6 linked regions of the Macaca mulatta genome follow. The protein of the gene in region 5 purifies or fractionates together with the protein of the main gene of each other region. This does not show direct contact. Links are inferred from orthologs where the notes say so. Each region holds a gene or a part of one and is shown on either strand. Other genes may lie near its edges. The genes, in order: ITGB1, GNB1, CD46, PTGFRN, CD81 and IGSF8.

The links.
Region 1: the proteins of CD81 (region 5) and ITGB1 purify together in Homo sapiens (affinity purification with western blotting; 4 studies listed by BioGRID and IntAct, with this or other methods). This does not show direct contact. The link is inferred for Macaca mulatta from reciprocal best matches to the Homo sapiens genes CD81 and ITGB1.
Region 2: the proteins of CD81 (region 5) and GNB1 purify together in Homo sapiens (co-immunoprecipitation; 4 studies listed by BioGRID and IntAct, with this or other methods). This does not show direct contact. The link is inferred for Macaca mulatta from reciprocal best matches to the Homo sapiens genes CD81 and GNB1.
Region 3: the proteins of CD81 (region 5) and CD46 purify together in Homo sapiens (co-immunoprecipitation; 3 studies listed by BioGRID and IntAct, with this or other methods). This does not show direct contact. The link is inferred for Macaca mulatta from reciprocal best matches to the Homo sapiens genes CD81 and CD46.
Region 4: the proteins of CD81 (region 5) and PTGFRN purify together in Homo sapiens (co-immunoprecipitation; 7 studies listed by BioGRID and IntAct, with this or other methods). This does not show direct contact. The link is inferred for Macaca mulatta from reciprocal best matches to the Homo sapiens genes CD81 and PTGFRN.
Region 6: the proteins of CD81 (region 5) and IGSF8 purify together in Homo sapiens (co-immunoprecipitation; 3 studies listed by BioGRID and IntAct, with this or other methods). This does not show direct contact. The link is inferred for Macaca mulatta from reciprocal best matches to the Homo sapiens genes CD81 and IGSF8.

Annotation. Positions count from the first base shown.
Region 1 is NC_133414.1:34,295,817-34,300,705, forward strand, and holds part of ITGB1 (integrin beta-1), read right to left. Parts: intron 2,968-4,889; coding exon 2,729-2,967; intron 2,512-2,728; coding exon 2,289-2,511; intron 1,310-2,288; coding exon 1,077-1,309; exon of another isoform or gene 809-1,076; intron 1-808.
Region 2 is NC_133406.1:238,918,239-238,922,507, reverse strand, and holds the end of GNB1 (guanine nucleotide-binding protein G(I)/G(S)/G(T) subunit beta-1), read right to left. Parts: intron 2,693-4,269; coding exon 2,586-2,692; 3' UTR 2,577-2,585; intron 2,309-2,576; 3' UTR 1,062-2,308; downstream 1-1,061. UniProt on the Homo sapiens protein: Guanine nucleotide-binding proteins (G proteins) are involved as a modulator or transducer in various transmembrane signaling systems.
Region 3 is NC_133406.1:65,500,281-65,505,169, forward strand, and holds part of CD46 (membrane cofactor protein), read left to right. Parts: intron 1-2,280; exon of another isoform or gene 2,281-2,340; intron 2,341-3,096; exon of another isoform or gene 3,097-3,132; coding exon 3,133-3,321; intron 3,322-3,725; coding exon 3,726-3,828; intron 3,829-4,889. UniProt on the Homo sapiens protein: Acts as a cofactor for complement factor I, a serine protease which protects autologous cells against complement-mediated injury by cleaving C3b and C4b deposited on host tissue.
Region 4 is NC_133406.1:123,368,483-123,374,008, forward strand, and holds the start of PTGFRN (prostaglandin F2 receptor negative regulator), read right to left. Parts: upstream 3,816-5,526; 5' UTR 3,525-3,815; coding exon 3,476-3,524; intron 3,145-3,475; exon of another isoform or gene 1-3,144. UniProt on the Homo sapiens protein: Inhibits the binding of prostaglandin F2-alpha (PGF2-alpha) to its specific FP receptor, by decreasing the receptor number rather than the affinity constant. Functional coupling with the prostaglandin F2-alpha receptor seems to occur.
Region 5 is NC_133419.1:2,302,424-2,306,427, forward strand, and holds the end of CD81 (CD81 antigen), read left to right. Parts: intron 1-35; coding exon of another isoform or gene 36-89; coding exon 90-164; intron 165-949; coding exon 950-1,054; intron 1,055-1,404; coding exon 1,405-1,506; intron 1,507-2,165; coding exon 2,166-2,252; intron 2,253-2,341; coding exon 2,342-2,404; 3' UTR 2,405-2,961; downstream 2,962-4,004. UniProt on the Homo sapiens protein: Structural component of specialized membrane microdomains known as tetraspanin-enriched microdomains (TERMs), which act as platforms for receptor clustering and signaling.
Region 6 is NC_133406.1:106,785,801-106,791,289, reverse strand, and holds the start of IGSF8 (immunoglobulin superfamily member 8), read right to left. Parts: upstream 3,620-5,489; 5' UTR 3,473-3,619; coding exon 3,339-3,472; exon of another isoform or gene 3,310-3,338; intron 3,061-3,309; exon of another isoform or gene 2,949-3,060; intron 2,891-2,948; exon of another isoform or gene 2,708-2,890; intron 277-2,707; coding exon 1-276. UniProt on the Homo sapiens protein: Member of the immunoglobulin superfamily (IgSF) that links tetraspanin-enriched microdomains to the actin cytoskeleton and plays several important roles in innate and adaptive immunity.

The sequences.
Region 1 (4,889 bases), on a different chromosome or scaffold from region 5:
CTACAAGACCACGTGGTATAGCTAACAGATAGACACTCAGATACATGGAACAGAATAGAGTCAGAAACAGGCCTACACATGTAAGGTCACCTGATTTCCAACAAAGGTGGAGAAAGGACAGTCTTTTTTCAACAAATGCCCCTAGAACAAGTGGACACTGATATGAAAAAAACTGAGCCTTTTGTCACACACTAAGAATAACTAAAGATGAGTTACAGATCTAAATGTGAAACCCCAGAAACTATAAAACTTCTAGAAAAAAACACAGGAGAAAAATCCTTAAAATCTTGGGTTAGGCAGAGTTCTGAAAGACAATGTAAAAATAAGAGCCACAAAAGAAAAACTTGGTAAACTGTACTTAATCAAAATTAAAACCTGTGGTGTTCAAAAGACACTTAAAAAAATGAAACGATAAGGAGGCACAGGCTGGGAGACAATATTTGCAAAACACCTAGATGATAATTCAAAACACTACAGGACTCTAAGAACCTGGCAGCTTCTTACAAAGTTAAACATATGCTTACCATATGCTCCAAAATGCCATTTTTACTATTTACCCAAGAGAAATGAAAGCTTATGTTTACACAAAAACATATACACTAAGGTAGAAAATTCTAAAGAATCTACAAAAAGGCTACCAGGAAAACTAAGATTAAAAAAAAAAAAAAGTTTCACCTTCAGAGAAGTTGAACAAAATCAACACTTTACATTAATATCCTTTAACAAATTATCTTTCCTAGTATTCAAACTTAAATCAAGCTCTAATTTTAAAATCATCAATCATAAAAAAAAAACTCTTACTACGCACTTGGTGTCAGGCATCGTTCTAAGTGTCTTATATAAATCACTGCATTTAATCTTCAAACTCTCCACTTAGAAAACTTAAAAGTGGAACTCTGTTTTCCTTATTTCTTATACAGTTAATTAGGTAATATCTTAAGCTTTGAAAGATGAAAAATTTCCCAACTTGACCTAAAATATTCCAGCTGGAGACTGTTTCTGGATGTTAGGCCTAAATAAGCAGAAACAAGACATACAAGATATGAAAAGAATGTTTGCAATCATCGCATTTCTACCTGGATTCTCCACAACATGAACCATGACCTCATTGTTCCCATTCACTGAATATGTAAAATAGAACCAACAGTCGTCAACATCCTTCTCCTTACAATGGGACACAGGATCAGGTTGGACTGGCTGGGGTAATTTGTCCCGACTTTCTACCTTGGTAATGTTAAAATAGGAACATTCTTGTGCGCATGTGTCTTTCTTTTCTCCTTTATTGAAGGCTCTGCACTGAACACATTCTCTGTTAAAAAAAAACCATATTATTATATTTAAATTTTATTATTTCAATAAATATTTGCTTAAACATATTTCCCATGCTAAACTCTTGTGACCAAATTGAACAAACAGCTATGAAGGAGGATCTGAATAAATGAAGAGATGCATTACATTTGTGGATAGAAAAATTATGTAAAAAGATGCTAATTTCCATAATAAAAGATTACAGTTCAAATTAAAACACTATTAATAAAAGATAGTAAAATAAATTAGCCCTATCACGTATTAAATATGTAACATAAAATCATAATAATTTTTTTTTGCCATGGAGTCTTGCTCTGTCGTCCAGGCAGTGCACAACCTTGGCTCACTATAACCTCTGCCTCCCGGGTTCAAGCAATTCTCATGCCTCAGCCTCCCAAGTAGCTGAGATTATAGGCACACACCACCATATCTGGCTAAGTTTTGTATTTTTAGTAGAGATGGGGTTTCACCACATTGGCCAGACTGGTCTCAAACTCCTGACCTTAAGTGATCCACCTGCCTCGGCCTTCCAAAGTGCTGGGATTATAGGTGTGAGCCACTGTCCTCGGCCAAAATCATAATATTTAAATAATTTAAATATGTTACTAGTATAATAATCCTTCAAGAGGAAAAATCTTTAATTTGGCTTAGTTTTGTCAAAAGATAGTAATTAAGAAATTGGTAATGACAAACTAAATTAAATCTTAATTGCCAAAATAAAGGTTACCATGTAAATTCAATTATCTACCACATTCAGATCAAAATAATAGTACAACTCTCACATGACACACTTCATACCATGTAATACATACTAGCTGTTGAGAAAAAATTTTTAGGAATTAAAGAGTAGGCTTCCACGTGGCAGGCATTTTATTTATAGTATATTCTAATACTGGCACTGTTCCGGTTCTAGTAACAACACAGGCTTTGGAGAGCCAAGAGGAAGTATCAACTATTTCAAGCAATTAGGAAATACTTACTTATGCTCAGCACAGACACCAAGGCAGGTCTGACACATCTCACATGTTTGCCCTTGGAACTTCGGATCTGTACACTTACAGACACCACATTCGCAGATGCCCCGGCCATTACAGATCTGTCCGTTGCTGGCTTCGCAAGTACTAGTATCCAAAGAACAGTCACATGCACTGCCAGTGTAGTTGGGGTTGCACTCACACACACGACACTTGCAAACACCATTTCCTGCAATTAAGCATATCATTTCTCAAACTAATGGTAAAAACATACAATCACAGTATTGACTGAAAAGTAAAATAAGCAACAACGTGTGAGAAAGTATACCTGGGGCAGAACTGACCCTCGAGCTACCCCTCTTCTACTTATGCACCAAGTAAACTCTAGATTTTTTGTGGCATTAGATGAGATCACGTCTTACAAGCACTTCAGGTCCTTTACTTACCTCCACAAATTAAGCCATTGGATCTATCACAGTTGAAATTATCACACTCGCAGAATTTGCCAGAATAAATTTCATTTGTATTATCCCTCTTCCTACAAACACACTGTCCACAAACGCACTCTCCATTGTTACTGCAGATTTCTGAACTGTTTTCTTTTCTGCAGTAAGCGTCCATGTCTTCACTGTTAACTTCATCTGTGCTGCATTCACAATGTCTACCAACACGCCCTTCGTTGCACCTGAAGAAACATTCCAAAATTGCAATCACACAAAACAAAAATAATTTAAGAGGTTCCAAGATGGCCGAATAGGAAGAGCTCCAGTCTACAGCTCCCAGCATGAGCAATGCAGAAGATAGGTGATTTCTGCATTTCCAACTGAGGTACTGGGTTCATCTCATTGGGGCTTGTCGGACAGTGGGTGCAGCCCACAGACTGTGAGTCGAACGAGGGTAGGGCGTCGCCTCACCAGGGAAGTGCAAGGGGTTGGGGAATTCCCTTTCCTAGCCAAGGGAAGCTGTGACAGTACCTGGAAAATCAGGACACTCCCACCCTAATACTGCGCTTTTCCAATAATCTTAGCAAATGGCACACTAGGAGATTATATCCCGCGCCTGGCTTGGAGGGTCCCACGCCCACGGAGCCTCACTCACTGCTAGCACAGCAGTGAGATCGAACTGCAAGGCGGCAGTGAGGCTGGGGGAGGGGCGTCCACCATTGCTGAGGCTTGACTAGGCAAAGAAAGCGGCCGGGAAGCTTGAACGTGGCTCAAAGAAGCCTGCCTGCCTCTGTATACTCCACCTCTGGAGGCAGGGCAGAGCTGAACAAAAGGGAGCAGAAACTTCTGCAAACTTAAACGTCCCTGTCTGACAGCTTTGAAGAGAATAGTGGTTCTCCCAGCATGGAGCTTGAGATCTGAGAACGGACAGACTGCCAGCTCAAGTGGGTCCCTGATCCCCAAGTAGCCTAACTGGGAGACATCTGACCGACTGACACCTCATACAGCCAGGTGCCCCTCTGAGATGAAGCTTCCAGAGGAAGGATCAGGCAGCAACATTTTCCGTTCTGCAATATTTGCTGTTCTGCAGCCTCCACGGGTGACACCCAGGCAAACAGGATCTGGAGTGGACTTCCCGCAAACTCCAACAGACCTGCAGCTGAGGGTCCTGACTGTTAGAAGGAAAACTAACAAAGAAGGAAAACTAACAAACAGAGAGGACATCCACACCAAAACCTCATTTGTATGTCACCATCATCTGCAGCTGAGGGTCCCGACTGTTAGAAGGAAAACTAACAAACAAAAAGGACAACCACACCACAACCCCATTTGTACGTCACCATCATCAAAGACACCCACAGTAGATAAAACCACAAAGATGGGGAGAAACCAGAGCAGAAACGCTGAAAATTCTAAAATCAAACACCTCTTCTCCTCCAAAGGGACACAGCTCCTCAACAGCAACGCAACAAACCTGGACGGAGAATGATTTTGACAAGCTGAGAGAAGACTACAAATGATCGGTAATAACAAACTTCTCCGGGCTAAAGGAGGATGTTTGAACTCATCGCAAAGACGCTAAAAACTTTGAAAAAAGATTAGACGAATGGCTAACCAGAATAAACAGCATAGAGAAGACCTTAAATGACCCGATGGAGCTGAAAACCATGGCACAAGAATTACGTGACACATGCACAACCATCAGTAGCCGATTTGACCAAGTGGAAGAAAGGGTATCATTGATTCAAGATCAAATGAATGAAATGAAGCGAGAAATTTAGAGGAAAAAAGAGTAAAAAGAAAGGAACAAAGCCTCCAAAAAATATGGGACTATGTAAAAAGACAAATCTATGTCTCATTGGTGTACCTGAGAGTGTTGGGGAGAATGGAACCAAGTTGGAAAACACTCTTCAGGACATTATCCAGGAGAACTTCCCCAACCCAGCAAAGCAGGCCAACATTCAAATTCAGGAAATACAGAGAATGCCACAAAGATACTCGAGAAGAGCAACTTGAAGACACACAATTTTCACATTCATCAAAGTTGAAATGAAGGAAAAAATGTTAAGGGCAGCCAGAGAGAAAGGTTGGGTTACCCACAAAGGGAAGCCCATCAGACTAACAGCGGATCTCTCGGAAGAAACTCTACAAGCCAGAAGAGAGT
Region 2 (4,269 bases), on a different chromosome or scaffold from region 5:
TAAGATTTTAAAAAATCACCAGTTTGGAAAGCAGGGAAGTGGATGGTTCCAGAACCTAGGAGCAGCTATTTGGGACACGTGCAGCCGTGGTTTTCCACTCTACCGTGGTCAGTGTTCTTATTTTTTCTTACGAGATGCAGTTTTGATTCAGACCAAGAGGAACACTCGGTTCAGTCCCAAGGAAAGCGAGTCTCTGGAGTCACATCCTCAGACATTCTGAGGGAGGGAAACGGCAGAGGAGAAAGGCAAGGCAGCCGCCTGTGAAGACTCCCACGGTGCTGTGGGCAAGGCCTATGCACGGGGAGGGGTCTGGGGGATGGCAGGTGGACCTCCCTGCTCCGCTGGCCTGTGAGGTGGAGCTTCCCAGGAACCCCTCCGAGGAGCCAATGCGCCACTCATGGATTCTGTGACGTGCTGGTGGCCAAGGCACTGCCTGGCATGACCACACCTGTCAGACCTTACAGCAGCAGGGTAAGCCTAGGGAGGTGGGCGTGTCGTAAACTGAAAATGGACCCGTAAATAATCACCACACCAAAGTCCCTCATGTCAAACTGCTTTATTACATCTTAAATAACAGTACAGTTTAATATAGTATCTATCTTGCATCCAGCTTCCTTGCAGTACACTGACTTTAAAATTAAATACAAAAGGTGGAAAGGGGTAAGGGTGCAGAGAGCTCTACAGAGTTGTTGGACGGAAAGAGAAAGAAGGGGTTTCATTTGTATTCTCTTTGCCAGATCCAGGCCTACCGCAAGGTCACAGCACAGTTTTGTATAGAATGTTGCAGAAAACAGGATGGAGAAGCCACTACTGCTGCTATGAAGGAGTGCGGGGGGCGGGGCGGGGGGGGGGGGTCCCACAGAACCTGCTTTCCAAACGCTGCTGCTGAACACTGGCCTTGAAATGAACACCAGGACAATCTGTGTGATGGGAATGAGCCGCCTCAGAGGCGGAGGCCCTGAAGAATCCATAAGGGAGGGCAGGCTCTTCCCTCCCCCTCCCTCCCTCCCTCCCTCCCTCCCCACCCTCAGAATCCAACAGCAGTCGTTTGCAACAGAACTTTTTTTTTCAAAGAAATAAAGAAAACAGTGACTTATCCCGCTACCCAAGCGTGTAGAGCCGCGCGCTGTACTGCTTCCGATATGTGCCACAGAGCAGCAACGAGAAGTGGACAGAGCCGCAATGGTTACAACTGTAAGAGGTTATTTCTTAAAGAAAAAGAACACCTAAGGACTGAGTCCTATATGCACTTTTGAGCATTTCTACAGCATGCGATTCTAAGAGTAAACCCACCCAATATGGCAAACAATCAAAATTTTTAAAATTTAACTTAGAAAGTCTGAGATCATTATTTTCAAAACATTGATTTGTACATTGTTTCATACACAAATAATTGACTGACTATCCAAGCACAGGACAGGCATCTCTCTTGAAAACAGAGGTTCCTCCTAGTTGGGGGTGGGGTAGTGTTAGGCTATTATAAACTTCCCTCCAACTTCACAAGGAAACCCAAAGTGAGATTAAAAACTCAACTGAGAAGATAGACAGGATGGGTCAGGAGGAACATGGTGCTGGATCTGAGCTCACTTTTCAGCAAAGGTGAAGGATTCTCTGATCACGCATTCGAGACCGTCCCCACATGTGCTTGGCCCCATGGCTTCTGAACATGTTCTTTTCTATGCCATGTTTGTGTGCAACAATGATCTGTGACACTAGACAGAAAATTAAAAATCAGGGACTGAATTTACATCACTGACAACGCCAGAGAGGCTGCCCTAGACTCTCTGGTTTTGATTAACTGTTGAACACAAAGGAATATATTTTAAAAAGGAAATATGAATGCTTCCAAAATCTTGCTACAAACATGACTGAAATTTGGACACGATGACCAGATGAACAAAGCCCTCAGCGTGTTTTGCGTGAATGCCACAAAACAGGGTCACTGGTCTAAAATTCAAATAAACTAGTGGAAAGGTGTGTCTGTCTCACAATTACACTCAAGTTTACCTTCTGGTTAACATTTTTATTATATATTTCCTTTTAAAATTCATTCAAGACAAAAAAGAAAACAAAGACGATGGCCCCGGAAGGAATGCACAATTTGTTTTAGTTTTACAGCACAGAGATCCTTCTCTTACTGGGAATTGTGCTCTTGGTTTCAGCAATAAGTGAAGGAAAAAAGATCTTGCCCTTTTGAAGTTCTGAGGGGAGGTGTAGGGTGTCCACGTTAGTACGGTTGGATAGGATATGCTCTCATGGTAACGCGTCCAAGTTGGAATGGTCTTCCAGTCTCCATGGCATCCACATGCTGTTTTAAACAGAGTTTAAAGAAATGTGAAAAGAGGCAGAGAATCTAAGTGCAGACGCATAGTCAGGTCACTGCTCTTCCCACCACTGCATGAGTGTCTGCGGCTGAGGGCATGTGACTTCAGATTTCTGTAAACGTTTCCCACAACACAATTCCAAATCAGTGCTACATCAACATTTATCTAGAAACCGTTAATGACAACTTCACACGTTCTATGAGAAACACGCACAGTTCTCCTCAGAGAAGGACATTTGGGCTGCTGCATTACCTACTGGCGTTAGTTCCAGATCTTGAGGAAGCTATCCCAGGACCCTGTCGCCACAGCCATGCCATCATCAGTCACGCCCAGGCAGCTGACGCGGTTGTCATGCCCAGCCAAGACACCTGGAAGCAAACAACAGCAGAATCACAGAGGTATCGATCTCACCTGTGACCTGTGTGCCATGTTGTGACGAGGGCGGATGGTGAGCCCCTCGTGGGACAAGACCCAGAGTCTCCCACGGCCAGGAAGGGAGGGAAAGTTGTGTCCACGTGGGAATTAAACTGCAGCATATGGCCAGCCTTATTAAAATTCAAAGGCACGCACACACACACAATCAATAAATCCAGAACCCCCGGCACTGACTTCTCAGCACTCACAAAACTCAAAAAATAAGCAAAGGCCACAATCAAAAAAATCAAAACCATCATCACGTTCGGTGGCTCAGGCCTGCAATCCCAGCACCTTGGAAGGCCAAGGCGGGCAGATCACGAGGTAAGGAGTTTGAGACCAGCCTGGCCAATATGGTGAAACCCCGTTTGTACTAAAAATACAAAAATTAGTAGGACGTGGTGGTGCGGGCCTATAGTCCCAGCTACTCGGGAGGCTGGGGTAGGAGAATCATTTGAACCCGGGAGGCAGAGGTTGCAGTGAGTTGAGATCGTGCCAGTGCTCTCCAGCCTGGGCGACAGAGCGAGACTCCATCTCAAAAAAAAAAAAAAAAGAAAAATCAAAACCACCCCAATCTCAAAGCAACTGTAACACAGAAGCTTAGAGGCATGAGCTGTTTTTCCTTCGTCTGTGATCCCTAGAGCCCAGCACAAGGCACAGAACACAGGAGTAGCGATGGTGGCTGAGACCACTGGCACTGTCACTGTCACATGGTGAGGGGGGCCTTCTGTCAACACTCAATAACCTTCGATTGGATCATCACCAGCCAGAAGCTCCACTTCCTCCCAGGGGGATCTGAAGGCCCATTTCAGCCACCCTCCCCCACCTCCTGCAGACACCACACAGCTGAGCATAGGGGCCAGTGTGTGCTCTGCCAAGGCCTGGGCTGGCTTCCACCGCCTTTCAACAGCACTATGACTGTGGGACTTGGCCGGAAATGGCTCCACTTTGGTCCCCCCAGGCTGGGGAGAAAAACAAGGGTGTTTAACCAGGACATGAGAATGGCACCCATCCGGAAGCAGGAAGCCCCGGTAAGGGCCAAGACCTGGAGCCATGCTCCCTTCTTCTGTCCTCCCAGGTACTGAGACGAATGAATCTAAGAGTCTGTAAGTGTCAACAGTTCTCAAATTGAAATGCCCAAATGTCTACTTTTAGTAAGGAAGCCTCATCTTTTGTACATCTAGTGTTTTAATACACCTGGCAATAACATGCTTGCCTTTGATATGTTAACTGTAACAGCACCCAGAGGTGTCCCTGCATGGCGCTCTGCTCCCCTGATGCAGAGTTCAGAGGGGAAAACATGGGACTGGGCCCTGGAGCCTGCACAGCTGACCCTCTCCTGCCCACTGACCCTCCCCAAAGCCCTCCCCCGCACATGTGGGAAGATCTGCTGGTGCTCTTCGGAGTCCACTTGCCTGGAGGGCCAGAGCTGGGCCATCAGTTTGCGACTATCACTCCTGCTATACCATGCCACAGTCCCACTGATACTAAACACTGCAGCTTATCAACAACTCTGTGTCTGCCCTAAAGA
Region 3 (4,889 bases), on a different chromosome or scaffold from region 5:
CGCGCCCCCACAACGTCCCCGCCCCCACAACGTCCCCGCCCCCACAACGTCCCCGCCCCCACAACGTCCCCGCCCCCACAGCGTCCCCGCCCCCACAACGTCCCCGCCCCCACAACGTCCCCGCCCCCACAACGTCCCCGCCCCCACAACGTCCCCGCCCCCACAACGTCCCCCATCTCAGGTTGAACATACAACCCGGTTCAAGTCCCTCTTCACTTGTAATCACCCTTTTAAAATGACCTTTTCTGTTCTTTGTCTCTCCCTGTTAGAATGCAGGGATCCTGCCTGTGTTGTCAATACTTGTGGTTCCAAAAGCCCCATTTGTTTGCCTCCATATCTGTTAAATACCAGAAAATTAAATATACTATTCGGCTGGGGATTAGAGCCTAGGAAAAAGCTCCTCCTGCCTCCAAGAGGAAGGTTGTTTAAAGAGCTCTGCTCAGGATGGTCTTTCTGTGGTACCTAAAAAGCTAGGGCAGGGGCAGCTGAGGGCCAGAAAGGATCTGTCTCCCCTGTTTGTGTTAACTTTGCAGAGCTTCCGGTACTTCAGTCTTGCATCTCACTGATCATTAAAACGTTCATTTTGAAGGAGGGTGATGGGAGTAGGGAGCAGTGGTGATAAGAAAACGAGAGGACTTTTTCTTTTTGTCTTTTACGATTAATGCTTAGAATAGGCTTAGTGCTAGAAGTGCGGCCTGAGCAACATAAGGAGAGCCCACCTATACAAAAAATTTGCCCACTTATACAGAAAATTTAAAAAAAAAATTAGCCAGGTGTGATGTTGCACGCCTGTGGTCCCAGCTACTTGTGACGCTGAGGGGGGAGGATCACTGGAGCGCCCGTGGTCAAGGCTGTAGTGAGCCCTGATTGTACTCCAGCTTTGGTGACAGAGTGAGAGACCATGTCTCAAACCAAACAAAACAAAACACAAACACACACAAAACAAAACAGGAAGTTGAAGAAGATGATGAATGCGATTTGAAATAGAGGAACATACAAAAATAAAATGAATAGGGTGCAACATGGAAGATAAAACTAAGAATGAAGAGAAGGAAAAACAAGGTTAAGTTTGAGGTTCATAAGCATAAATCAAGACAGGTATGAAACCTAGAGAAAGTAAAAATGAGAACTCACGATGTTAGGCAGAGAGAATACATGGATTAAAATAAACATTCAATTTTTGGAGCAACTCAGTCTCACAAGGAGAAGATTTTGTAAGCAGACAGTGCTGTGCATGGGAGACCTGCCCTCTCAAAAGTAATTGCCAAATGGTTCCAGATAGCTGAAGGAAACAATGTATCAAAGTTCAGGCCAGTCTCATTCATTCCTCCAGTAGAGGAACTGCTTTTTTGGACAAAATCCCCAATCTCCTGTTGTGTGTGGTCTCTTCTGCCTATTTTAGGTGTTTTCCTTATTTCCGATGAAAGAAGCCAAGATCAGTAAGTGCTTACACAGTAGCTTCTCAGTTGCTTACTCGGCATACTACCATGCAAAGAGAGCAGTCCATATCCGGTCACCTGCCAGGATACCAGAAGACTGGGAGATAGGCAGCACGAGAAATGGCCTAATCTTCTTTCTCCACTGTGCTGTAGAATGATTGTTTTCAATATGAAATTGGTTACAATATATTATTCACATTGTTTTGTGTTTGACAGCAGTGGACTTTGAGTACCAATTTTTTTGTGGATGGCTACTATGAGTGACATATTGTGCTGCGTGTTGTGGCTGCATGGATGAATGGAGTTGGCCATGTTAACTATTAAACACAAAAGCATGTGATAATTACCTGAGAGATCCATGCAGGGGAGAGTCCAGGGGAAGGTGACTGATCACAACTTCCCAGGGAGAGGCAGAAAATGCTTCCTGGAGGAGATGATGGGTGGATTAAGGAAGATAAGAGTTGAGCAGGAGTTGTAGCTACTGGCCAGGGAGGAAGGGTATTCAGAGCAGAGGGAGCAAGGTGAGCAACAGCACCAGGATGTGACACTACTGGACTGCCAAACTACTCAGTGTGGCAGAGTAGGGCAAAAGAGGCAAGAAATAAGGAAAAGGATTAAATCACAGGGCAAGTAATTCTGAAAAGCAACAGGCTTATCAGGAATAAACACTCATCATCATAAACTCAGACTTTCACGTTATTATCTGCCCTTTTAGGGCAGCTTGAGCCTTTTGTTTGACTTAGCACAACATGAATCCAAACTAGGGTTGTTTGATCTCCCCAGGCACAGTAGCAGACAATTTATTGAATACTTATTGGCAGATAGAGTTTGTCAGTGTCAGCATTTCTTTTTTTTTTTTTTTTTTTTTTTTTTTTTTTTTTTTGAGACGGAGTCTAGCTCTGTCGCCCAGGCTGGAGTGTAGTGGCCGGATCTCAGCTCACTGCAAGCTCCGCCTCCCGGGTTTTTTACGCCATTCTCCTGCCTCAGCCTCCCGAGTAGCTGGGACTACAGGCGCCCGCCACCTCGCCCGGCTAAGTTTTTGTATTTTTTAGTAGAGACGGGGTTTCACCGTGTCAGCCAGGATGGTCTCGATCTCCTGACCTCGTGATCCGCCCGTCTCGGCCTCCCAAAGTGCTGGGATTACAGGCTTGAGCCACCGCGCCCGGCCTAGTGTCAGCATTTCTTGAGCACCCACGAGGTGGGTGGAGTCTAGTAGAAAAAGAAGAACATGTTCCTTGAACCCCAGGAACATGCCTTTTAAGAGAAGATAGCCTGAAGCGACAAGCTATTATAAGTTAGTGTTTTAAACTATGGAAGAACAACCTGAGCAGAGTGCTCTATACTGTAGAAGACTTCTTAGAGGAGAAGTTACTTTTGAAATGCATTTAGAAAAATGTGGGGAAAGATGCGTCTGTATATTTTTTAAGACCAAAGACATTAATGCTGTCTCTTCAGTTTATTGGTGAATGCTTATTCCCAAAGAAACCAAAAGCTAATAGGATTGTTACTTAAAACATGCAAGTCCCATTTCCTCCACTACTACCAGCACTCAGGTAAAAGCATGGAACAATCATTTAAAATCTTGCCAAGGGCCTTTCTGTTTTTTCTGTACTACTTGCTGCCAGACCACAGTCATGGCTCGTTAAAGTGCTATCAGTACTTCATCTTCATGTTCCTATTCTCTTATCCCTAGATGCCTGTGAGGCGCCACCAACATTTGAAGCTATGGAGCTCATTGGTAAACCAAAACCCTACTATAGGGTTGGGGAACGAGTAGATTATAAGTGTAAAAAAGGATACTTCTATATACCTCCTCTTGCCACCCATACTATTTGTGATCGGAATCATACATGGCTACCTGTCTCAGATGAGGGCTGTTATAGTAAGTAAACGAGCCCCCTTTTTTTTTTTTCTGCTTGCTCTAGAGATTCCTTCCTTCCTTCCTTCCTTTCTTCCCTCCTTCCTTTTTTTTTTTCCTGCTTGCTCTAGAGATTTGCACACATTTTGGGGTACATATTCCACTATGGTGATAATGATTTTCTTCTTGTGGAATGAGGTTTAAGATAGCAATGCATTATTGCAGGCTTTGAGAAATCAAAATCTCCAAGAAATCTTTTTCCTGGCAGTAGATTGCCTAGGTGAACATGAAACTGAAATTTGCCCTTATAATAAGTAAATAAAGAAAATAATATTCCCATGCATTCAAAAGAGCACTGCAGAATTTTGATTCTGATTCAGATCTGTTTTATAACTGGATTGAAAACCGTCAAAATTATTTTCTTTTAGGAGAAATGTGTCCACATATACGGGATCCTTTAAATGGTGAAGCAATCCTTGCAAATGGGTCTTACGAGTTTGGTGCTGAGTTACACTTTATTTGTAACGAGGGGTAAGTTGCTCCTTAGAGGAAATAAGGGAAATGTTAGTAATTTTATTTTTGTTTTGCTTCTCTTCTTAAGCTTTCCTGTAAACTTAATTTTGCTTTCTATGTGGCAAGTTATACTTCTAGCCAAACAACTCTTGGATGTTTTATGGAGATAGGCAAGATATTAAAGTAAGTAGAAAATAATTGATACTGAAGGAAAGCAAAACTCCTTGTTATTTCTGACAATAAGTCTGTTGTAAGCATTAAGAATGTAGTAATCATGAGAATTTATCCTTCACAACTGAGTGTCCCCTATTTAAATCCGCCAACTGTTAGAGTTTAAGTAGGGCTCACAAAAATGAGAAATAGAATTGCCAACTACAGATACGCTTGTATCCAGATGACTCTGTTAAGTGTTACCAGACCAGACCAAAACTGACCTGGTTAGCCTTTACCATCATGTTCATCAAAATCTCTCAGTTGAAAAACCTTATTTTTGAGACTGCTACAATGTGAAGCATCTCAAAAACCGGTACTGAGCGCTCAGTAATAGCCTTTGTTCTGTAGAGATTTTGAAGTCTTATATATTGGAGATACTAGACATTTGAGATAAATGTGCATTTAGAGAGTAAATGTAATTTTCTGTCCATTTTCTCTTGCTAAAACAGAACACTTAAGGCTAGGCATTTATAAAGAAAAGAAATTTATTTGGCCTATGTTTCCGGAGGCTGGGAAGTTCAAGGGGATGGCAGTAGTGTCTGGCAAGGGCTTTCATGCTGCATCATAACATGCTGGAAAGTGAAAGGGAAATGTAGCACCTGCAAAAAAGACAAAGCACAAGGGAGGGGCTCTCGCTTTATAACAATGTGCTCTTGTGGTAACGAATCGAAGCCTACAAGAATGAGAGCACATTCCCTCAAGAATTAATGAACACCCTCTAGAAAGGCATTATCCTGCTTAATGACCTAATCATTTCTTAAAGGCCCCACCACCTCTCAGTGCTGTTACACTGGCAATTAAATTTCAATATGAGTTTTGGTAGAGACAAACCAGATTCAAACAACAGCAGTAATACACCATAATAT
Region 4 (5,526 bases), on a different chromosome or scaffold from region 5:
ATTAGTAATAGGGACATTGTAGTGAACAAAACCAATGTGGCCCCTGCCCCCAGGGGAAACAATTGGAGTAGGGAACAGACAATTACATACAATGAAGTAAATATATGCTCTGATGACAGGGCACAGACTGCCTGGCAGCACCCAGAGCGCCAAGAAATCTACCCCTCCCAGTCCAGACTCCTCAGCACAGCACGCAAAACCTACAGGATCTATCTCAAACCCACCTTTCCTCCCCCATTATTTCCTCCTCCCCCAAATAATTGCACCCCCATTTCCTCCTCCTCCCAGTTACATAGAACTTACGTGCCATTTCTGAATGAGCCATGTACTTTCACTCATCCACACTTCAGGCTTTTCCCCAGAGCCTAGAATGCTCTTCTATCCTTTCTTTCAAAATTCTAATTATCCTCAAGGCTCAGCTCAAATGTCACCTCTTCAGCAAAACCAGCCCCAACCCCCAAGTCAAAATTAATCATCCCCTTCCTTGTTTCCCACACTTGGTTTCCACGTCAGGTATTTCATTCAGGCCTGTGGTTAGCTATTTTATTCTCTGTCCACTCACACCCACCAGCCGCTCAGGCAGATGCTGTGTCTTGGTCATTTGTCTGGGACTCCCAGTATTGAACACACGGTTGCACACAGAGTGGCACTCTCTCTGTGAATGTGGCACATTTCTTGAGTGGCCACTCAAGAAATGCCACACTGAGTGGACGGGCAAGACAGATCAGACACAGGCAATGGATGTGAAACCTGCCCTATGTGGCTGGGTGGGTTCTGGTGGGATCATGGTAGGTGGGTTTAGAAAGGCTTCATGGAGAAAGTGAGTTTTAGGGGAAAAAGGAAATACTAATACACAGGCAAGAGGTGAGAAGTAGAAGGGGCCGGAAAGTTTAATATAGTCTACATAAAGGAGAGCAAACAGGTTAGATAGAACAAAGTGTGTCAGCCAGAGAAGACTGGAGGGGAGGACACTAGGGGCAACATCTCCTTGGAGGAAAGTCATAAGGACCCAGTGAGAACAGGTGGGAGCCCCAAAAATGATCATTTAGGAAAAGGATGAGCTTAAAAGGGAGGCTGGAGGAAATAACCAACCACGAAGACACCAATTGTGTGGGAAACAATTGGGACCTGGGCTAAGACAGTAGCCGTAGAAACAGGAAGGAAAGGAAGAAGCTGGAGTCTGTGCTATGGGGAGACGCAAGAATTGAGAGACTATGTGAATGTGGAGGTCAAAAAGAGCAGTGATACCAAGATTATACTCAGGTTACTCCCTAGGAGAAAAGATGATCTTGCTTATCAATGTATTACATTTCAGGGATCAGTACAGTGCTAGAGTAGTGTAACACAGGGAGACCTTCCCAGAGGTCAGGCTGAAGTCACGCCAAGTGAGATTCTGTGGCAGCAGAGTTATCAGGAGGGTCATCAATGGTTCAGAGAACTGTCAGGTAAAAAGGCACCGGCTAGTGACACCACAGAAATTCCCAGTGTAATTCATAGGAGGCATCCAGCCAGGACAGGATATGCTGGAGTACAATCAAGATTTCCCCAAGCTGTGCTTTCCCCACTTCTATTTTGCTTTTGTCAGTCTCTCTTTGCCCCCTTCCCTCTTCCCCCCTCATTATGATTACTCAAGGGCATTGTTTTCAAAGTTTTCAAAGTTCTACCTCATCCCACCCTCATAACTGGTACCCAGGTTGTTCAAAGAACTGCACAACTCTAGGGGGAGTCATTCACACAGACTACAAAGTGAACAGCAGCTCCCGAAGTTGCACAGTGCACAATCTGTGCAAACCCAGGCCACGGCCCTGCTTGACCTAGACACACACAGTCAATAAAAATTGTGTGTGGACTATAACAGCAGTGCACCACTAACATACAACTTACAAGGGTCCCGCAGTGAAAAGTAAAGATTAAAAGCACTACCACCGGGTGTGGTGGAGCATGCCTGTAATCCCAGCACTTCAGGAGGCTCAGGTGGGAGAGTCAATTGAGCCCAGGAGTTTGAGGCTTCAGTGAGCTATGGTTGTGCTACTGAACTCCAGACTGGGTGACAGAGTGAGGCTTTGTTTCAAAAATAAAAACAAAGCACTAGGATCAGGGACTATAGAAAAGATGCCATAAAACTAAGTGGAAGATCTGGAAGCTTTCTGCACATGGGCTGAAGCTGAAGCAATGTGGCTGGACGAGCTCTCTGAGGGAGTCAGTTCAGAAAATCTCTTCAAGGTGAAGGAAGAAAACAGAAGCTAGCAAGGCTGGTTTACCAGCAGCAGGAGTCACGGGGCTTAGAGCAGTGTGGGCCCCCGGTGTCCCCAGTAGGGGAGTGGCTATAGAAGGCCTTCTCTGGGACCCTCCGACCATAAGTGCAGAGTAGTCATTTGCCCTGTGTGCAGCTGGGACCTGGATGGGACGGACACCGCACACCATGCGCTCTGTAAAAGACTCAGATCTGCCTTCTCTAGGGGCTTGGAAGAGAACCCCAGGCCGGGTCATAAGAATCATCTTGTCCTGGTTGACACTGACCACAAAGATCCAAGAATATCAAAGCATTTAAGAGTCGGCCCTGGGGTACCATGGTGGGCACTTAATAAACATATTTCCGTGGCTGGCTAGGATCACCATGTGGATCTACGTGAAGATGGTGTCTGTGTATGGAGTGAATGGAAAATGGAGAGGGAAAAAACCCACAAAAGATTCCTTGGGTGGGGGGAGGGCGCTGGGCCAAAACCTCACGGGGCACCGAGGGTTTCCGGAGGGTGGAAGATGAGGGGACAGTAAGGGAGGAAAAGTAACAGGTAGAAAAAGTTGGAGAAGCCAGGCTCTTAGGTCTTTGTGTATAAATACGCAGCTAGGCAGCTTCAAGAAAAGCTAAAAGAAAAGACTGAGACAGACAATCTAGCCACGACGAAAATGACGGCAGGACTCGCCCGCCGATTTCCATTGTAACGCTCCGGGCCACCCTGTGACCTTCGTGGAAGGAAGTTGGAGGATTCTCTCGCTTCCCTGGAAAGGCAACTCCGCGCGGGCTGGGCGAAGAGAGACCCGGCCGGCGGCGGCTATGGCGGGGCATATCAAAGGCTCACATTTCCGCTCTCGAGCGGGGGACCCGGGCCGGGACCGCAGCACCTTCCGGGCCGGGAGTTCAAGGTGAGCCGGGCTCCCGGCGGCCAACAGGTAGGGAGGGCTGGGGAAAGCCGGCCCGGGCCACTCCCCCCGGCACATGTTGGGGGCGAGGCTCGGCCTGGCGGAGCCGCCACTTGCACCCTGCGCGCGGGGCCCGGGCTGATTCGCGCCAGGCTCCGGGCGGCCCCGCGGCCGCTCCCCGCCGGGCCAAGCAGCCCGCGCACCCCGGCCGGGTTTCCCGGGAGCAGCCCGGGCACCCTCAGTGACCCAGGCCGCGCGCTGCAGCCGCGCCCCGCCGAGCCCTCCAGGGCCCTGCCAGACCCCCTGCGCCCAGCTGAGCCCCGCGCACACTCACCCAGCGACAGGAGCGCCAGCAGCAGCGGCCTCGGCGCCAGGCGCCCCATGCTCGCCCGGCGGGAGCGACTCTCCCCCTCCTCCTCCTTCCCCGCCGCCTCTCCTCCTCCTCCTCCTCCAGCTCCGGCTGCTCCAGAGTCGGCGCTCCTCCGCCTGGGCCGCGCGCCTGCTCCGCTCTCCTCGCGAGCCGATAAATCCCAGCGCTGGGGCGTACGTGCGCCCCTGGCTCCGCTCGCTCCCTCCCGCCTCCTTCCCTCCCTCCTCCAGCCGGCCGGGCCCGGGAGCCGGCCCCGCCGATCCGAGTGTGCAGCCCCGACCGCTTCCCGAAAGCAGAAGGGAAGAACCGCAGCGCCCGCCCGCCCGCGCCTCCCATCCGGCGCTTTGCCAGCAACAAACACAAACTTTCCCAAGCCCCTCCCCGCTCCAGGTAACGGAGGAAGCGCAGGGGCCACCCGCTTAAAGGCGAGGAGGCGTCGGAGCCCACCCTGCCTTCCCCTCTAGGCCCCCACCCCACGAGAAACTTTCCTCCGACCTTTAAAAGTTGGCCTGGGAAAGACTCGTCTGGAAATCCCTTCGCTTTAGCCCTATCCCGGGACACCCCGCGTTCCATCACGCTGGAGTCACCCACGCGTGTCTAGTCTATCCTCAATCAACTGCCCGCTCGTTCGGCCTCGCGTCCTGAGCTAAACACCCCAGCAACCAGCCGCTTGGCCTATGCCAAAAATTACGCAGATGGGAGCGAAGGAGCTGAAAGGACTTTTGAAGGCCACGGATTCCAACGTCTACCATACAGAGGCCTTAAGTGTTTCGGTGAGGTGCCCAAGGATTCACAGGGAAGGGGCAAAATCAGAACCCCGCTGTCCTGACTGCCCACTCCCCGGTGATTTGGGTGGGCCTGCCTCCTCCTTACCCAGCACCCTCCCTCTCCTCAGCGCCTGTGGCACTGATTAGAACAGCTCCACACAAAGACACCCATTTAAAAAACAAACGAAACCCAAGTGTATTAATAGCTATAGTACTTCATATAGAATGTACTGTTAAGACTTCATATTTCTTGCTCTAAGTGGACACCACTGGTTGCCAATAAAGACTCATACTTCCCCCCACAATAGAGTTTTGTGCTTTTGATTTGAATACAAAAGGCCCCACGGGTATTGGGAGAAACGGAGCATTCCTTGCTTGAAACTTAGCAAGCATGATTCAGACACGCAAGGAGCAGGACTGGTGCCCACTGCCCCTCACTGGGCTTTCATTCACATGTGGAAAACGGATCACAGATGCTTATGCGGAAACTGCCCACACTCACACAGGGGAAGAACATTACTTTTACTCTCATGCATCCGTGTTTCAACCAACAAATGTTTCTTATTTCCACTATCAAATGTGTGATTAGCCAGGTATGAACCCTTTGGAAAGAGTCTTAAAAATTCATTCCTGGTGGTGCAACGTTATTGTACTTAATGGCACTGAATGGTACACTTAGAAATGTTTAAAATTGCTAGGCATGGTAACTGGTGCCTGTAATGCTAGCTACTCAGAAGACTGAAGTTGGGGGCGGGGGCGGGGGTAGAGGGAGGCCGGGAGCGGGGGCAAGGATGGTGTTGCTTGAAACCAGGAGTTTTTATTTGTTTTGTCTTTTTTCTTTATTTCATTTTTGAGACAGGATCTCGATCTGTCACCCAGGCTGAAGTGCAGTGCTGCGATCAGGAATCACTGCCGCCTTGACATCCCAGGCTCAAGCAATCCTCCCACCTCCACCTCTCAATAGCTGGGACCACATATGTGTGCCACCACACTCTAGCTAATTGTTTCTATTTTTTTGTAGACACTGGAGTCTCCCTATGTTGGCCAGGCGGGTCTTGAACTCCTGGGCTCAAGCGATTTTCCTGCCTCAGCCTCCCAAAGGACTAGGATTACAGGTCTGAGCCACTGGGCCAAAACTTTTTCTTGTTTTTCTTTTTTCTTTGTTTTTGAGGCTAGAAGTTTGAGACCACTTGGGCAACATTGTGAGACACTGTCTCTAAAAAAAAAGTTGTAATTTTAAAATGGTAA
Region 5 (4,004 bases):
CACACACCGGCTGGGCACCTGGGTGTGTGTCCCAGGTCCCTTCCCACAGCCTGCCCTCTTTCCTCCCTCTGGCCACTGCCTGGCTCCAGTTCTTCACCTGTCTGGTCATCCTGTTTGCCTGTGAGGTGGCGGCTGGCATCTGGGGCTTTGTCAACAAGGACCAGGTGAGCCTGGGTGTGTGGGTGTGCCCCTCACCCGCCACACCTCCCCTGTCGTGGGTGGGGCGGGTGGGGGGGGCACCCTCCTCCCCTGTCGCGGGTGGGGCGGGTGAGGGGGGCACCCTCCTCCCCTGTCGCGGGTGGGGCGGGTGGGGGGCACCCTCCTCCCGTCGCGGGTGGGGCGGGTGGGGGGGGCACCCTCCTCCCCTGTCGCGGGTGGGGCGGGTTGGGGGGCACCCTCCTCCCCTGTCACGGGTGGGGCGGGTGAGGGGGGCACCCTCCTCTCCTGTCGCGGGTGGGGCGGGTGAGGGGGGCACCCTCCTCCCCTGTCACGGGTGGGGCGGGTGGGGGGCACCCTCCTCCCGTCGCGGGTGGGGCGGGTGGGGGGGGCACCCTCCTCCCCTGTCGCGGGTGGGGCGGGTTGGGGGGCACCCTCCTCTCCTGTCGCGGGTGGGGTGGGTGAGGGGGGCACCCTCCTCCTGTCGTGGGTGGGGGTTGGGCTGACCCATAGTTTGTGGGAGCTCTTTGGGCTCCTCCTGGGTCCCCCGTGCTAGGAGGATCTCCAGGGGCTTTATGGAGGAGGCAGCATTGGGGCTAAGCACAAGGCCAAGCTCCCGTGTCCCAACACCCCCTGGGCAGCTGAGAGTGCAGAGTCCTTGTTCTCTGGGGTCTGGCCTTGAAGCCACCCTGCCCAGGGAGAGCCTGGGAAAAGTGCGTCTGCCTGGGGCGGGGTGGGGTGGGGGCAAGGTGGGGGAGGCCCCCCCGTGCATGTGACCGCATCGCTCCCCCAGATCGCCAAGGATGTGAAGCAGTTCTATGACCAGGCCCTACAGCAGGCCGTGGTGGATGACGACGCCAACAACGCCAAGGCCGTGGTCAAGACCTTCCACGAGACGGTGCGGCCCGCGGGGGCGAGGGCGGGGAGCAGGGCTGCGGGAACCCGGCTGGGGAGTGTCTCATCCTGAACAAATCCTGCCTCCGCCCAGACCTCAGGAGCAGGAGGGGTGCCCTTGGGACCTCCAGGACCCCTGGGCTCAACCGGTCCTCGGGTGGGAACCTAGTGGGCCAGGCTGGCCCAGGGTGTGGAAAGCTCTGAGCAGCGCAGCTGAGGAGGAAGAAGGCCGGCCCCTGGATGCGTTCTGCAGTGGGGAGCGCTGCGTACCCTTGGCCGCCTCCCCGTGGGTTCCCCAGAGCCGCCATCCCCCGGGCACGTCCAGGGCTGACCTCGCACCCCCGCTCTGTGCAGCTCGACTGCTGTGGCTCCAGCACGCTGGCCGCTCTGACCACCTCAGTGCTCAAGAACAATCTGTGTCCCTCGGGCAGCAACATCATCAGCAACCTCCTCAAGGTGTGCGAGGCCGCCGGGGCCGCGCCTGATCCCCTCGCGCCGCCCAGCCCCTGGGTGGAGTCGGCAGGTCACACGGCAGCCCCACGGGGAGCGACCACGCTGGGTGGCGTGGCCCCTGCCAGGGCTGCCCTGCTGGGAGGGTAGGGGTGGGACTGCATCTGGCCCACGAGGAAGGCAGGCGCCCTGCGCTGCGCATGCCGGGTGAAGAAGGTGGAGGCTCTGGGGGGGCGGAACTCACCTGCACCCCCAGCTCCGCGTGTGCACTTGTGGGTGTGGATGCCCCTGACAGCCTGTGGCTGGCAGGGCCTGCAGGCCGTATAGTGCCCTGTGGAAGTTGCCTGCTGAGGCCTCAGTGGAAGTCGTCAGTGGGTGCACATCAGTGATGCTGTAGGGGTCTAGTGACACCAATGATCGTGATCTCAGGGGAAAAGGGCACAGTGTGTCCCAGGTATTTCGCGTTTATGTTAAAAAGGGTGGAAAATAGAAAGCTGGCAGAGGCCGGGCCGCTGCACCCACCTGGTCCGAGGTGGGTGGGGGGTGGGGGCTGTTTCCAGGATTCCCCTCTGCACTTTCTGTGGTGACCACGGATTACTGAGTGACAACAGGGAGCCGGGAGCTGAGGCCCGGTCCCTGACCACACGCGCCTGGCCACCCTGCAGAAGGACTGCCACCAGAAGATCGATGAGCTCTTCTCCGGGAAGCTGTACCTCATCGGCATTGCTGCCATCGTGGTCGCCGTGATCATGGTGAGTGGGCGGGGGCGGAGGGCCTGTTCTCTGGGCTGCCCCTTCCTCAGGGCCCTATGCTGACCGAGCGCCCCACCACCCTCCCGCAGATCTTCGAGATGATCCTGAGCATGGTGCTGTGCTGTGGCATCCGGAACAGCTCCGTGTACTGAGGCCCCGCAGCTCTGGCCGCAGGGACCTCTGCAGTGCCCCCAAAGTGACCCGGACACTTCTGAGGGGGCCATCACCGCCTGTGTATATAACGTTTCCGGTATTACTCTGCTATACGTAGCCTTTTTACTTTTGAGGTTTTGTTTTTGTTCTGAACTTTCCTGTTACCTTTTCAGGGCTGACGTCACATGTAGGTGGCGTGTGTGAGTGGAGACGGGCCTGGGCCTTGGGGACTGGAGGGCAGGGGTCCTTCTGCCCCTGGGGTCCCAGGGAGTTCTGCCTGCTCAGCCAGGCCTCTCCTGGGAGCCACTCGCCCAGAGACTCAGCTTGGCCGACCTGGGGGCCTGTGTCCACCCAGCCCGCCCGTCCTGTGGGCTGCACAGCTCACCTTGTTCCCTCCTGCCCCGGTTCGAGAGCCGAGTCTATGGGCACTCTCTGCCTTCATGCACCTGTCCTTTCTAACAGTCACCTCCAACTGTAATCACAACATCCTGAATCCGTCATTTAATAAAGAAGGAACGTCAGGCATGCTACCAGGCCTGTCCAGCCCCTCAGTGCCAGTGGCGTCTGAGACCTAGGGGTTGGCCAGAGGGTGGGGGAGTCCGGCACGGGTGGGGCTCGGCTCTGTGGACTGTGTGGGCTCCAGGGTGAGGGGGTGGGTTGGGATCCCTGGTGTTCACAAAAGGAGTCACTCTGTAAAATTTGCGGAGTTATTTATTCTGAGCCAAATAAGAGCACCTGTGGCCTGTGACACAGCCCCGGGAGGCCCTGAGAACTGGTGCCCAAGGTGGTCTGGCTACTTGAATTTATACATTTTAGGGACATAAGACATCGATCAATACATCTAAGATGTATGTTGGTTTAGTCAGAAAGGTAGGATGATTTGAAGGGGAGGGACTTTCAGGTCATAGGCGGATTAAAAGATGTTCTGATTAACAATTGGTTGAGTTTATCTAAAGACCTGAAATCAATAGAATGGACTGTCTGGGTTAAGAGAAGGAGTTGTGAAGACCAAGATTCTTCTTATGCAGATGAAGCCTCCGGATTGTAAATGTTTCTTATCAGACTTAAAAAGGTGCCAGAATCTTAGTTAATTATCTCCTGGATCAGGAAATAGACCCTGAAAGGGAGGGGGATTCTCTATTGAATGTAGATTTTCCCAAGAGACAGCTTTGCAGGGCCATTTCAAAATACATCAGAGAAATATATTTTGGGGTAAAATACTTTGATTTCTTTCAGGGCCTGCTGTCACGTTGGTATCTTATTGATACAGAGTCTGTTTTGTGAGTCTTAAGGTCTCTGTTTATTTTTAGGCAAGAGTTTCGCTCTTGTCGCCCAGGCTGGAGTGCAGTGGCGTGATCTCGGCTCACGGCAACCTCCACCTCCCAGGTTCAAGCGATTCTCCTGCCTCAGCCTCCCGAGTAGGTGGGACCACAGGAATGCACCACCACACCCAGCCAATTTTGTATTTTTAGTAGAGACAGGGTTGCGCCATGTTGGCCAGGCTAGTCTCGAACTCCTGAACACCCGAACTCAGGTGATAGACCAAGTGCTGGGATTATAGGTGTGAGCCACCACACCGGCCTAAGGTGTCTGTTTTAA
Region 6 (5,489 bases), on a different chromosome or scaffold from region 5:
TGCACCTGCACCTCACCCGCCACCACTCGGGACTTGAAGATAGCATAGGAGAACTGGGTATCCTTGGTACTGACAATGCCCAGTGCAGTATCTGGGGCCTCAGGCCTATACAGGAACCACTCGAAGTTCTGCTGGGCAGGTCCCTCGTAGCCGGTCACGTTGCAGGAGATGGAGACAGCTGTTCCAGTCACGCGGTACAAGGGCCCCTCGGGGACCAGCACCTCCCGGGCCCAGCATCCCATTCCTGTAGGGAAAGGCAGAAGAAGTTGGAGATGCCTGATTCCCCATTCCATGCCCTCTGCCACCACAAGCACCATTCTTGATCTCTGCCTACAAAAGGAAAGGACACCTGGGGAAGATGGTCCACAGCTTGGACCCTGTTCTGAGAATAGGAAAGGGATGCTGTGATATAAGACACCTGGATCTCAAGAAGGTGGCACGGGCCCAGGATTGCCTTGGCACCTAGATGCATCCCATTTCTGGTGGACTAGAAGCAGAGCGCCTGAAGGCAGAAAGGAGTACATCTGATTCCTGACCTAACCAGGCTTTGGTTCCAGCTAAACCTTGATCTGTCCCTGCCACTCACCCACCTCCATGTCTGCCATTCCTTCCTCAGTGCCTGGCCAGGGGAGCCTTCTGGCTGGGGGATGCTGAGACTACATGTCCCTCCCCTTTGCTTGAGGGGAGCTGGCAGTCTTGCTCAGAAGTGCTAGTTGGCTCAGCTGTGTCACCTGGACCAGACAATGGAGCCAGTGACCCTAGCTGGAAAGGGCACAGGCCCAGTCAGTTCTCACCACACAATGCCCTCCCCCCTCCAGCTGCGCAATGAGCTCACTGCTTCTCTCACCCCACAGGGCTGCCCAGGCAGCTGGGGCTTCTGGGGCAAGGTCCAGGCTCTGCTCTCGCCATTGGGGCAGAAGATCCCCTCCTCCAGTGCCTGCCAACCTTCCTGGCTAGCCCAGCAGACACACAAGGCGCCTGCCCCAGTTCCTTAACAAAGCCTTCATTTGCATATGGTATGCATTCATTTACATATATGGCTTTCTTTCTGTAGGGAGGCATTAAATCCCAAGCTGCCCCTTCTCATCTCTCTCCCTTCAGAAAGGTCAAACCTCTCTTCTTCACCCTACTCCACCCCTATGCCCAACTCTACCCCAGCAGATACTCCTGGCAGACTTAGAGGGCTTAGCTCCTCCCTTCTCTCCTTCCATAGCTCCCACTAGATAAAATCGCAGAACCTCAGAATGTAAAGAGGGCTAGGCTACCCCTCCCCCCCTCCCCATTTTACAGATGAGAAAGGTAAGGCAGGAAAAGTATAATATCTTAGCCAAGATCATGCTGTCCCTAGATGGCTTCCACACCCTCCTCCAGAGGGGCAAAACCAGGGAGGAAAATGGGGAAACTCCAAGGCCAGGCCTGAAGGGACTGACCTCACCAACCAGAGTGTCACTTTTAGGCCTCCCAGGGGGATACCATGGACTTTCTGCAGAAGCTAGAGGAAAATGCCCAGGAGTCTGTGGTCAAACTCTACCCTCCAGCTTCTCTAGAATGGCTCCTCTGAACTTCCCCACCCCTGCTGCTGGGCTCCTAGCCCCTTCCTTTATCCTCTGGCTGAGTCACAGGGAGAACTCATGGTCTGTTGTTAAGGGCACAGGCTGTCAATCAGGAAGTGAGATTCCAGCACCATCCCCATGCCCAGCTGTGTGGCATGGGATCCAGTCTCTTTCTGTCCTAGGCCTCGGTTTCCACACTGGAGGAGAACTAAGAGCTCCAGCTCTGACCATGCATGAGTGCGTATGTGACTCAGGAGAGCCCTGCCCCAGGCCAGGCAAGTTTCATAATCAGGGTGATGGTGGAGACGGCCAAGCTGACACCTTCCCTGACTGCCTCGGGGCAGACTGCTCAGAAGGCCCCCTCCCATCTTCCTGGCTCCACAACTGCTGATGCTTGGAGATCCCCATGGGAAAGTTACCTCCACAGCCTTAGGAAATCAGTTGCCACACAGCTCTCTCTCACCTCCTCTGTATTAGTTGCAGCGAGGAAAGGGAGAGCAAAGAGGCCTGCTTTGGAATCAGATCTGTGTTCAAATCCTAGCCCTAATACTCACTAAATGTGCTCTCTGGGGCAAGTTACTTCAATTTCCTCACTTGTGAAATGAATGTAAGTGCCCACAGGCAGTGGGTGCTCAGACGTCTGCGTGCTCCTTTTTCAACCACAGGCCAGCACTTCCCCACCTCCCTGGGCTCCTCCCTGCTCCATGCTGCCCGCTGGGGAAAACACAGCAAGTGCTAGGCAACCCAGGTCCCACAGAGCCTTCCTCTCTGTACATCCTCCTGCCACCTGCCCAGGGACCAAGGAGAGGACTCATCCTAGCCCTGCAGGGCCCAGGGACCTGCAGCAGGGGAAGGCTTTGCTTGGTGCCACTGTGGAGCCCTGGTCTAGAAACAGGCAGCTGGGGCTACCTTCAGCCTCTGCCTTGACAACAGCAGCTCTGAAGTCACCATCCCCACCTCCACGCTTCACTCTCATTTCAAGGGCTTCAGCCTCATCAACATCTGTACTGGCAGTTTCACTTCTCCACGCCATACTCTTCCCCAGACCACCTCCTACAGGCAGCCTTCCAGTTCAGGCCAAAAACAATTCCACTGTCATTACCCCCAGGCATCCATGCAAGATTAGCCCAGAACAACCCACCATGAACACCCACCACAGCAGGCACAAGGTGCTTTGAGATCCCAGGATCAGTCTCCATGGAACCTGGTTTCTCCTGAGGCAAGGAAGCTGGAACTAAGCGGGTGTGAAAACTGATGGGTGGCTGCAGAGCCAAGTGCCATTTGGGAGAGAGGAAGAAGGGCAAAGAGGGACCCAACCTGGGATGGAGATGGGGGTGAGAGAGAGAACTGCCCCCAGTTGATGAAGTGTGTGGAGCGCAATTGGGAGAGACTTACTTCAAAGATCGTGGGCAGAACTGGCCTCTGGGCCTCCAGCCAACTCTAGGGCAATTATGAAGCTGGGCAGGCACTGCCCACGCAGGGCGGGCACCCAAGGCCAGGCCTGGAGCTGAGTGTGGGGCAGAAAGGAGTCGCAGCATTTGGTGCAGCGACCCCAGGACGTGGGTATGCTAGCTGAGAAGTGGGGCCTGCCCCAGGAGGCCAAGCAGTGCCTGGGGCAGCACTTTAGTGGGTCCTCCCTGTGCCCCACTCCCTGACTTAGAGCTGGGGAGCCTGCACTCTTCCCAAGACTGGCTCGGCGGGCAGCCACAAAGCGCAGCTGGCCGCCGACCCCGGGGAGGCTGGAGGTACCCCTGACGGAGGAGGATGTGAGGAGCCCCGAAATGCTCGGGAGGTGCTGGGTGGCAGGCACCTGCCCGGCGGGGCCGGGAACCGGAACGGGGGCCTGACTTACCTAGTATTAGCAGCAGCAGCAGCAGCGGCGGCGACGGCGGCAGCAGCGTGGGCCTGAGGGCGCCCATCCTGCGCGGCCAGCTCTGGGGAGGCTCCGGGGGATGGCGCGGGTTCTGGGGGACCGGTGGGGTGGGGGGCGCATGCCCAGGTGGGGGGCAGGAAGCTGGGCAGCGAGGCGTGGGTGCGCCGAGCGAGCTGAGCTGGAGCTGCCGAATCCCCTCCCTCCGCCCCTCCCCCCGCCCCTCCCCTTGCTTTCCCTCCAGCCCTCGGCAGTTCTGAGACCATTCTAGCCCCAGCCCGCCCCGGCACCGCCCCTTCCTCCGCCCCGTCTAAGCCCGCCCCGCCCCGGACCCAGCCCTGGCCCGGCCCGCCCCACCCCGCCAGACTCAGTTCTTCGCTCCGCACTTGGCTCCGGCCCCGCCCTGACCCTCGAAACTCACCTTTGCTTCGCACCGAGTCCCAGCCCCGCCCCGGTCCCGCCCCTCCCCGCCCCTCCCCGCCCCTCCCCGCCCCTCCCCGTCCCGTCCCGTCCCGCAAGACTCCAGCCCTGGCTCCGCCCCGGGTCTCGGCCCAGCCCCAGTTCCGGCCCCTCCCTCGCCCCGCCCCACCAGGACTACAGTAGGACTACAATCTTGGCTCCGCCCCGGGACCCGGCCCCGCCCCAGTCCCAAGCCCCACCCCTTCCCAGTCCCCCCAGGGCTAACGTCAGCCTCCAAACCTGACTCCGCCATGGACCCCGGTCTCGCCCCGCCCCTGGCCCTGGCTCCGCCCGAGGCCCCGGCAAGAGTGAGCTAATTGCACCTCGGCGCATCGAAATTCCCACCCACCCTCGTACAGAGCGCACCCCACCCCGCACCTGCCAGCCTTTCCTGGAGAATTGGGTGCAGGGGCCCTGGGATTGGCTGTGGCCACGCATTTAGAATTCAGTTATTTTCTCTGAGCCATAGTCCTCGCTGCAAACCCTGTTGAAGTAGGGGTTGGCAGAACCCAGGAGTTCCTAAAGGCGAAGGGTTTGAGCTGAAGGGCGCTTCCAGGATCCACAAGGTCACTGGAGACCTGTTTTTCACCCCCTCAGAGGGCAAAACCAAAAGAAAAATGGATTGGGAGAGGCGGCCGTCCATGTGACGTCATTTCTGGGTTGGGTGATCCTAGCCCAGTTGTTTAACCTCCTTCAACTTCAGTTTTCTCCTCTGCAAATTGAATTGAGGTTGATCACACCACCCAAAGGGGATGATAGGTAATGTACATAAAGTGTTTGGCACAGGAAACTAACACGAAATGGGAGATAACGAAGGATTATTTTGTTTTAGTTTTTGAATTATTATTTGAACTGCTTCCTAAGAGGCTTAATTTAGACCTAGTTTAGACCTGGCGTTTAGGTGAAGGAGTGTCTATGTTCAGTGACAGTGGGAAGAGATGAACATTGTTCTGGGAAGAGTGGGGCTTGCCCTGGAGGTGGGAGAATGGAGGAGGCACCCTTCCCAGGTGTTCTGTCTCTTCCTGAACTGTAAAGATGGGGAGTGGGGAAGGGCAGGAAGGATGAGACCAAAATGGGGAGAAGAGATGGCCAGGTTTGCAAAGCCAAGGCTGTCAGAGTGGCTGTCAGTGGGAGGTGATCCCAGAGCCCATTTACCACCCTCTACCCTCCAACACCCTCCCTCTCCCCTCTTCCCTCCCACTCACTCACCCCCCCTTTACAGAAGAGGAAACTGAGGCCCAGAGAGGGTAAGTGGCACAGGCCAGACCAGACCTTCCTTGACATTGTATTCCTCAAGCGTGGCAGAGTGCCTGACTCTGAGAAGACGCTCATGGGGTTGCCAGTAGAAGCCACATTGAGGAACCCTGGAGAAGCCAGAGAAACTGAGGCCAAATGTTTGGGGCCTTGAAGGGAGGTCAGAGGTCCAGCCCTCACCTCCCAGGACTGCCAGCACTGGCCCATGAACAGGGTAGTAGGGTGCCTTTTATTCCCACTTTGAAATATCCACAGCCTGGTTGCTCCGGAGCCTCATCATCTAAATCCATCCACAGGCATACTGAGCTATGTGAAAACTGAAACGCATAGGGAAGCTTTTGGATGAACACGTC